Arabidopsis thaliana: one gene and its partner. The protein of the gene in region 2 interacts with the protein of the main gene of each other region in a pairwise test. Each region holds a gene or a part of one and is shown on either strand. Other genes may lie near its edges.

Region 1 (3,784 bases), on a different chromosome or scaffold from region 2:
TCTTATATAAACTCATCACAAGGAAAGGAAATCTTGAATTCGATCAGTTAGGTTGATCATTTCTCTTTGTAACGGTTCCTTCGGTTGTTTCTTTTCTAGGCGGATGGGCTTGAAGCAGTAGCAAGAGTTGGAGTCCCTGGTGAGCACCGAGGAATCCTCAACGATCACCGTGTCTTCCGAATGCTCAAAAAATGGCTAAATGTAGGCGAACCAGACCCGTTCTACAACCCAGTAAACGATTATGTCATCCTTCCCACCACATATGAATTTGAGAAATTCCATGAGAATGGACTCGAGGTTGCTTCCGTGAAAGAATCGTGGGACATCATATCAGATGACAACAATATCGGCACAACCGGGTCAACCGTGAACTCCATATCAGTCTCTCAACCTGGAGATGATCAAAACCCTCAAGCTGAAGCTCGTGCAACCTTAACCGTCCAACCACAAAGCGATGGTAGACAACATGTAGAGCTCAATGCTGTAAGTGTCTCTGTTGATGCATAAAAACGCATCTTCCCTTTGTAATGTGTCGTCAAGTGTGTCTTTGTGTCTGTATATAGCAAATAAATCTCATGCCTCGTGTACATAAATCATCATCATAATAAATTTCGTGTTCTTATTATTGTTTAAGCTTACAAGTTTGGATTTTCTAATTCTTGGGTCTAATAGCAACACCTTTCACAATAAGACCAGACTTCCACTGGTCACTTTTAACCTCCAACATCGAAAACTCAATCTTGCCAGAGAGATGTTCTGGTGATATCATGAACTCACCGGCCGGAATCTCCACCCACTTGTTCCTTTCTAACAGGTTCACATTCTCTCGCCGCTCTTTGGTTTCTCCGGTTGGCAAAACCAATTTGAAGTTAACCCGAAAATCCCATCCTTTAGCAGAATCGATTAGCTTGACCACAAACACAACCTCGTACAAACTGTTGGGAGTTAGTTTCTCCGTCTCGAATTTTCCGACAACTTCTAACCAAGCTACTCGTTCCATCTTTGCAACCTCAGTTCTTACATCACTGTATAGTGTATACAAATATGCAGAATTTAGTGAAATCTTAAAAAAACAAAAAAACACAAAAGTAACTTTCTTACAATAAAACTCATAACCTTGATGTTTGGTCAAGATCAGAGAACCAACTCCAATATTTATTTGTTTGAGACTCTGCCCATGTAATTGAGAGATCTCTCGCGTACAACATGAAACAGTTTTTCTTCGCTTTACCCTCATCTTCCTCTATCAAGTTCTTCTGAATAAGAGATTCCAACATCAATAAAATATAACTATTAGTATCATATTTAACAAGGTGAGGAAAGTTAGACAATGAAACCTAAGAAAAAAGATTTACGACCTCTGTCTTGTGCTTCAAGGAAAAGTCATCGTCGACCTGAGATGACGACGTCGTATCATGAGTAAGAGGAGAGTCTGCATGTTTTAGTATGTCTTCGTTGTTATTATGTGGCTTTGTCTTTGAGAAGATAGACCATATTATTCCCATTCCTTGATTATTTTTGTGTGTTTTCGTTATATGTTTTCTTCTTCTTTTACTAGCTATTGTATTCAGGTCTTATTTATAGAGGAATTTCATGATTATACCTTCCCGACCTGAATGTTTTGTATAACTAAATTATTCATTAGATTAAGTAATTTCTTATCTGATGGTCGAAATCCAAAAATTCTCAAAATGTTTAACACAAAATTATCTAAATTATGTCAAAATATCCAAAAATAGCTGAACTACCTAGACTTGTACCCAACCTCTTGGGCTCTTGGCTATATATAGTAGACTTCTCCATTAGTGTATTTTTGTAAGTATCATCAAACTTTAGAATACATAAATTAAACAAATGGTACACCGTACACATCGCAAACAAAATTTTGATTGGAATATATTCCATTTTCTTTTACGTCTTGTTAAACATGTTTGATTCTTTATACTTTTCATTTGATATGTTAGCTAGCTTTATTCTTCCATTTTCTCCACCAAAATGGAATTTTCGAATACTCTTTTAAAAAGTGAACATGATCCACGCATATAGACTGTTCGCTCATATACCTTTAAGATTATCTATCAAAAATGCCTAATTGAGAGATTATGTGGATATTTTACACATGTTTAGAAAATATTGTTTATGCCAAATTAAATATGGGTTTTGATAGGATCTAACTAGGTTTAAGGTTCATAGAAAATCTTTCTACTTTTTATTTTTTTACCAAAAATAAATTCATGTCAGCTCGTTAAAAGTTAGAACATTGTAAATGAATTGATTCGAATATAACAACCTTCAAAACACTCGTTTTGAGTTTATTCAACACCAACATTAAAGTTATTATTAAAACTAAAAATACGATAGAACAACCTTATTATACACACATGACATGATGTGAAATATATGTTGAGAAGGTCCATTGGTGCATATGGAGATTTATGTTTTTCTATGCCATAACAATTATTACTGTTTGGGACGAATTGCAACACCTTTGAGGGAGAGCCCTTTCTTCCAAACACCAGCCGCATGCTCATACATTGAGAAAGTGATCTCTCCGGCAGCGGATTTCTCAGGTACGAACTCGCCAACTCTGACATCGACCCATTTATACCTTGGAAGTTCCCTCAAACTCACCTTTTTCTCTTGTGGTTTCTCCTTACCGTTAGGCAAGACTAGCTTTAGGTTCACCGGCGTGTCCCATCCATAGGCCGGATCCTCTAGCTTCACCTTAAAGACTACCTCGTAAACAATCCCCGGAGTGAGGTTCCTCGTGTCGAATTTTCCCGTGATGTCGAGCCAACAAACGTTTTTCAATCCCACAGCTTCCACATTCTCGCTTTAAAAATCATCCAAAACAAACTAAAGTTTGTCACTTTGCATTAATAATTATAGGTCAAAATTCGTATTAATATTGCTATAATATACACACACAAACTTAAAACGTCGTAACCTGTTTCGAATTTATCAAGGATACTTTGATTCATACTCAACTCTATTGTAAATCAAATATGTAACAAAGATATTCATTTTGTGGTAACATTCATAGTATGGGATTTAAATGAAACGTATCTTACTTTGGTGACTCTTTTTCGGTAAACCAAGTCCAATAGTTGACGTCATCAGACCAAGTTATAGAGAGGTTCTTTGCAAAGAGCATGAAGCAGTTGCTGTTTCTCTCGTCCACCCAATATTTGATCTGTTTAATATATATTATACGCAGATCATCAAACCAAATGAATTCATGGTCCGTCTTAAATATATTAAGATTGATTTTCTTAACAAAAAGTTACCATTTTGATAGTGTTACTTTAGTCCATTAGTTCTATCTTATTTTATCTTTCGAAGCATTTGAAACCTATGTGGAAGTAGCAATCATGTCTTTCTAAACCAAGCAGAATGGAAACGTTTGTTTTGTGATCTGATCATTTTTTTAAGCTACTTTTTATTTTAGAAATGAGAGATTCAATTTTTTTGAACCAGAAGTTCTGTGTTTGCAATTTTGTTTACCTAAAGGCTCCGTTTTGCGTAGTTATTTTCTGAAAATAGAAACACAAGTGAGCTAATTCTTAAAAAGAATATGAACCTGTTTCTTGGGTTTCAAGAAAACACCAGACCGTAGCTGTTCAGAGAGATTAACAGAGGAGAGAGAGATCGGAGGATCTGCGTCTCTGAGAATGGCCTCACAGTTGTGTGGAGATTTCACCGTTGAAGCTTTCATCGGTAAAGTTGTCACCGGTGGCGCTTCTTTCTGCACCGGGATCAAGTATTTCGAGTCTTGGTTTCTAAA
Region 2 (5,423 bases):
ACTTAACTCTATGTTGGTGATGTTAGTTGTAATCTCGTAGCTAACGCAATTAATTTTTCATGTTGGCCTAAACTTTTTTTTCTAACGCTAATAAAAATAAAATTCTTTTCATATATTTTCATATTTGCTTTTGATGAATTAATTGTTATTTGATAAATTAATATGAATCAAAAGATTTGTCATATAGACAAAAACAGAATGAAAAACAACTTAAACTCTAAGTTTTGGGTTTGGACTTTGGACTATACTATAAGTTGTGGGGTTTTGAATATTTTTGGATTTTGCAATAAGAAAAGAAATTAAATAAGATGATGAATTGTTTTAGATTGTTACTGAGTTTTTTGTTTTGTTTTTTGTTCTGTCAAATACCAAAGTGATCATGATTGAGAATGGTTAAAATCTTCCAAAAACTATAGCCTCTCAACTTTAGAGGAAAATCACTTTAAAAAAAAAAACTTGAATCGGTAAGAATGAGTTTCTCAAAAACAAAAACCATTACAAAATCTAGCGAACCTTCAACAAACAAGATCATACTCTTCAATTTAAAACTATCTTTCTTATGGAAGAGGTGTTCCTTATTTCCATATCTCATATCTAAAACTAAAACCTTGCTTACTCTGCTGTATAATTTGGAACCCATTAGCAAGCTTTAGAAAACAACGATCTTTAATATTTGCAATCTCTTCAAAGAAAACGAATCTGAAACTTTTTTCTCACTAAGTTTTTCTGGAGAGTAAGAAAAACAAACCCAATTTTCCAATGTAGTAAAAAACGAGAAAATACAGAACAAAACCTCTGTCTCTACAACTAAAACATCTTACAATGAACTCTTTTGCTTTTGATTACCAATTTCTTCCAACCGTTTCCACGTTGCCTCACGTTTTGCGCCAATTTCAGCTTCTTTTGATTCATCTTCTCTAAACTTAGCAAGACAATCCTTAAACAACTCTGCATCAATGTCATTAAAGATCTTCTGCACATTCAACGTCAAGCTATGAACAGCTTGGTTCCAATGCTTCTGAGTGTTTCTCTCCAATGCAGGGAATATGATTGGAAGAATAACTTTCCGGTTCTGCATTATTAGATTCTCGATATGATCGTTGTTCCATAAGAACAAAGCTCTTTCTGCAACCTGCAAAACAAAATAAAAAAAGTCTCAACCTTTTTGTTCTTTCTTGAGCTTGCTTATACAAAGATTCAAGCTTTCGAAATAATCACAAAGCTTTGTTCTTATGGATTCAATCAAAATATCACGCATTTCAATCTTGTAAGAATTGTTCCCATCATTCATGATTCACAGAATTAGCAAACCAAAGGAAAATACAATTACCTGAAAATGGAGACTGTTCAAACACCGAGCAACTTGGCGAAACAATGGGACCATACACCGTTGGAATTCAGGTGGTTGAGTTGCTTCTAATACTTCCTCTAGCTCGTTTAGAAACATGACTTCTTTGGAACTATTTGTGACAGGCCAAGACTTGAGTAGTCCCCTTATAACCGTATCAGCGAGTTTGCAATCTTTTTCCACAAACTGTGTGATACAATAAGACAATTGCTGATGATACATTTGCAAGCTTTTCGGTTTGTGAAGAGGTACCAAAGCTCTAACCAAAAACACTTTATGCTCGTCTTTAAGCGGCAGAGCAAATCCATTGATGATACTTCCCAAAATCTCTAGAAACTCAGCAATCCCATTGTGTTTCTCAGTCTCGAAAACAAACCGATAGAAAATGTTATTAATGGATTTCCTTATGAAAGGACGATGAACCATAAATTTACCGTAGATGCGATGTAGAACGGTCTTAAGACAATCTCTTTCTCTAGGATCCTCTGAATCAAATAAATCAAGTAACCTTGAGACAAAAGATTGGTCAATGTATTTCTTAGCCAGCTTGGTGTCTGTCTCTGGTGAAGCAATAAGCCGCAGGAGAATTTCATAGACAAGCTGCAAGTGAGGCCAAGTAGGATCCATAGAAGGCTCTTCTTCCTCCAAGTCTAACGCATCAATAACTTTATTCTCGCGCGGTTGAGGATTCAAGGTTCTGAATATGTTAACAGAAACCATTCTAACCACTTCTTGAATCACAGTTTCACTAAACTTTCCATTAGGAGAAGCTACATAATCCACAAGCTCAAGCAATGTCTGCCGCTTAATATCCTTTTCCTTAACGTTCTTCGTTGGATCCGAGAAATCGAAAACAACACAGCACAAGCTGAGTTTTCTCACAAACAAGTTCTGTTTCTCTGCATTAGGAACATCTTTGAAACCTGGCAATGCTTCATATGGAGTGAAACCGTTACCATTTCCTTTCAAATTCCCTTCTTTAAACCCTGAATCAGCAGAAGGTTTTACAGGAGGAGCGTTCTGGGTTTGAGAATTACCCGATTTACTGGCGCCATTATCACTACTTTTTGAAGTGGAACTAGATGAAGAAGAATGGTTCTTAGAAGAAGACTTCTTAGGAAGCTTACTCAGAATCTGTTTCCACATAGTGTATTAAACTCAGATTCTTCTTTGTTCATATCCCCAAAACAAACATCTAGAAGAACAATTTCATCAACTCCATCTGAATAACAGAACAAAAAAACAAGAAAAACAGATTAAGAACCTGAAATATTGAAGATATGATACTAAAACACACACAAAGTTAGTTATATCAAGAACCTGAAATGGAGATAAATCCCAAAATTTACCAAATTTATTACAACAAAACCATTTTTTCTTCTTCTTTATTCACTCACGAAACTCAGAAACAGAAAAAAATCACCACTACAAACCATAAAAATCGAAACTTTCGATTCTGATTCTGAAACAAACGCAATCACAAAATCAAAAATCAAGAGAAATCGCACATTACAACACCTCCGATTGCACAAAACAAAGGTCAAAAGTAGGAAAAAAAAAACGATGAATAATGAAATAAAAAAAGCTTACAAAAATTCACATTCAAGTTCTTCTTCCAAAAAAAAACCTCCTTCGATGTTGTTGATTGACTTTGAAATTAAGAATTTGTACCCTTTAGATTTGGCTCAAATCATTGCGAATTGTTGTTATTGTTCTTGATTTTGGTTTTCTTTCTTCTTCTTTGAGATTTGTGACTTCTCGTGATCCAGTTATCTATCATTCTCTCTTCTCCTCCGATGGCTGATCAAACTTTTTTTTCTCAATTCTATTTTAATTTAATTTTAATTGTTTTTTTATTCCCCTTTATTTTAATATTGTTTTTTTTTGTGTGTGTGTTCGGTCTGGCCTGCCAGGTCCACTCCTCCCTCACTTGAATTAGTAATTTTTACAGAATTTTCAAGCTGACAACACTTCAAAATGTTTTAAAATTCCAGATTTTAATTGCCGACCGTAACACTATTATACGACATAGTTTTGAATGTATGTAATAAAATCGGTTATATTGGTTTGGTTTTTCGGTTCAATCTTTCTTGTGTTTAATACAAACTTAATTTCGGTTTATGGTTTTAGTTATTGTTTTGTTCCAAAGAAGAGTGTCTCATTTCTTTTTTGACATTTTCTCCCTTCGAATCTTTGATGCATTTGGTCTTATGGATGCACACAAGATGTAAGTTATATATCAGATGCCAAGGTGATGAAGTTTGATGCATCAAGATACAAACATCACATGCTAATATTTGCAATAACAGATTGACATTACAAAGTTTATATGGCAAAAACATTCAAACCAATTTATATAACCAAAACTTTAAATTTGTAATTATCCTTATCCAAAACCAAATCTCTAGACTAAGATAGAGAAAACCTAACTTAAAGTTAAAACCTTTTTTTTCATTTTGTTCTGAGGGGGCTTTTGTGTTGACGGTGGTGGGAACAAAGGAACATCGTATCCATTCTGTCCGGGAAACACAGCAATGTTCATTTCCGACAAATCTCGTCCTACTGATTTCTACAAAGACGATCATCACAATTCCTCCACCACCAGCACCACACGCGATATGATGATCGATGTACTCACCACTACCAACGAATCAGTAGATCTACAATCTCACCACCACCACAATCACCACAATCATCATCTCCACCAATCTCAGCCACAACAACAGATTCTCCTCGGAGAAAGCAGTGGAGAAGATCACGAAGTTAAAGCACCAAAGAAACGAGCGGAGACATGGGTTCAAGACGAAACTCGTAGCTTAATCATGTTCCGTAGAGGTATGGATGGTTTATTCAATACATCCAAATCTAATAAACATCTCTGGGAACAGATTTCGTCTAAGATGAGAGAAAAAGGGTTTGATCGATCTCCGACTATGTGTACTGATAAATGGAGGAATCTGTTGAAAGAGTTTAAGAAAGCTAAGCATCATGATAGAGGAAATGGATCGGCGAAGATGTCGTATTACAAAGAGATTGAAGATATTCTTAGAGAGAGGAGCAAAAAAGTGACACCACCACAGTATAATAAGAGCCCTAATACACCACCTACATCAGCCAAAGTTGATTCCTTTATGCAATTTACTGATAAAGGTATAAACTTTGGCATCAATTGTAGATTTCTTGATTTGGATTCAGAGAACGTAACTGTGATTATGGTTTTTGTTGCTACTATTTGGGAAAATTCTTATCTGTATCTTAGGCTGAGAAGATACTACATTTTAGAGTAGGTTTCTTATTGTGGTTTTTCAGTTATCTTTAAAGAAGATGATAGTTTTGGTAAATGAATCTGCGTATGTGGATTTTGTGCCTTTAATTTTCTTTTGGCTAAGTGGTAATTTTATCTTTCATTGTAGGTTTTGATGATACGAGCATTTCTTTTGGATCCGTTGAAGGTACTTATCTATCACTATTAGTTTGTTTATTATAGTATCTTGCTATGTATACAAAGAGACGAGCTTTTGTTTGTCTACTGCCTCTTGAAGTTGTCTTTTAAGTTGGTCGAAAACATCTCCCTGAGTGAGCAATAGTAGAGGTATGAACTTGCTTAGTGAAGTGAACATTTGGGACTGAAACAAATAGTAAACATGACTGTGCCGTAGAATTCACAGGCAGTTTCTGTGTTAGATGGTTTAGTTTTGTTTCTAGAGGATGTGTGTGTGTGTGTGTATGTTTGAAAAGTGTATATATATCTATGTTTCAGCTAATGGCAGGCCAGCCTTAAACCTTGAAAGGCGTCTTGATCATGATGGTCATCCTCTTGCAATCACTACAGCAGTTGATGCTGTTGCAGCAAATGGAGTTACTCCTTGGAATTGGAGAGAGACTCCTGGAAACGGCAAGTCCTCAGAAAAAGCTTATATAAACTTAAGCCTCAAAGTTTAATTTTCTATAAGGCTAAAGATATGTTTTTTGAACTGTATGTTTATGTTCCAAGCATGGTGTAATATGTGTAAGAATCCACGTTTTCTCATTTTGAGGTTGCTTCACAGCCTCTGCTCCTCTGCTTGATTTATTC

The links.
Region 1: the proteins of AT1G13460 (region 2) and PP2-A2 come close enough for resonance energy transfer, tested with the Arabidopsis thaliana proteins (one study listed by BioGRID).

What each region holds. Positions count from the first base shown.
Region 1 is NC_003075.7:10,774,378-10,778,161, reverse strand, and holds PP2-A2 (lectin-like protein), read right to left. Parts: upstream 1,550-3,784; 5' UTR 1,506-1,549; coding exon 1,359-1,505; exon of another isoform or gene 1,278-1,358; coding exon of another isoform or gene 1,257-1,277; coding exon 1,117-1,256; intron 1,026-1,116; coding exon 735-1,025; coding exon of another isoform or gene 659-734; coding exon 574-658; downstream 1-573. Other genes in the region: AT4G19860 (alpha/beta-Hydrolases superfamily protein), read left to right, coding at 100-507; PP2-A1 (phloem protein 2-A1), read right to left, coding at 2,461-2,833, 3,072-3,193, 3,581-3,784.
Region 2 is NC_003070.9:4,613,575-4,618,997, reverse strand, and holds AT1G13460 (Protein phosphatase 2A regulatory B subunit family protein), read right to left. Parts: upstream 3,232-5,423; 5' UTR 2,939-3,231; intron 2,571-2,938; 5' UTR 2,495-2,570; coding exon 1,331-2,494; intron 1,133-1,330; coding exon 818-1,132; 3' UTR 549-817; downstream 1-548. Other genes in the region: GT-1 (Homeodomain-like superfamily protein), read left to right, coding at 3,883-4,498, 4,762-4,800, 5,109-5,243. UniProt on the Arabidopsis thaliana protein: The B regulatory subunit may modulate substrate selectivity and catalytic activity, and may also direct the localization of the catalytic enzyme to a particular subcellular compartment.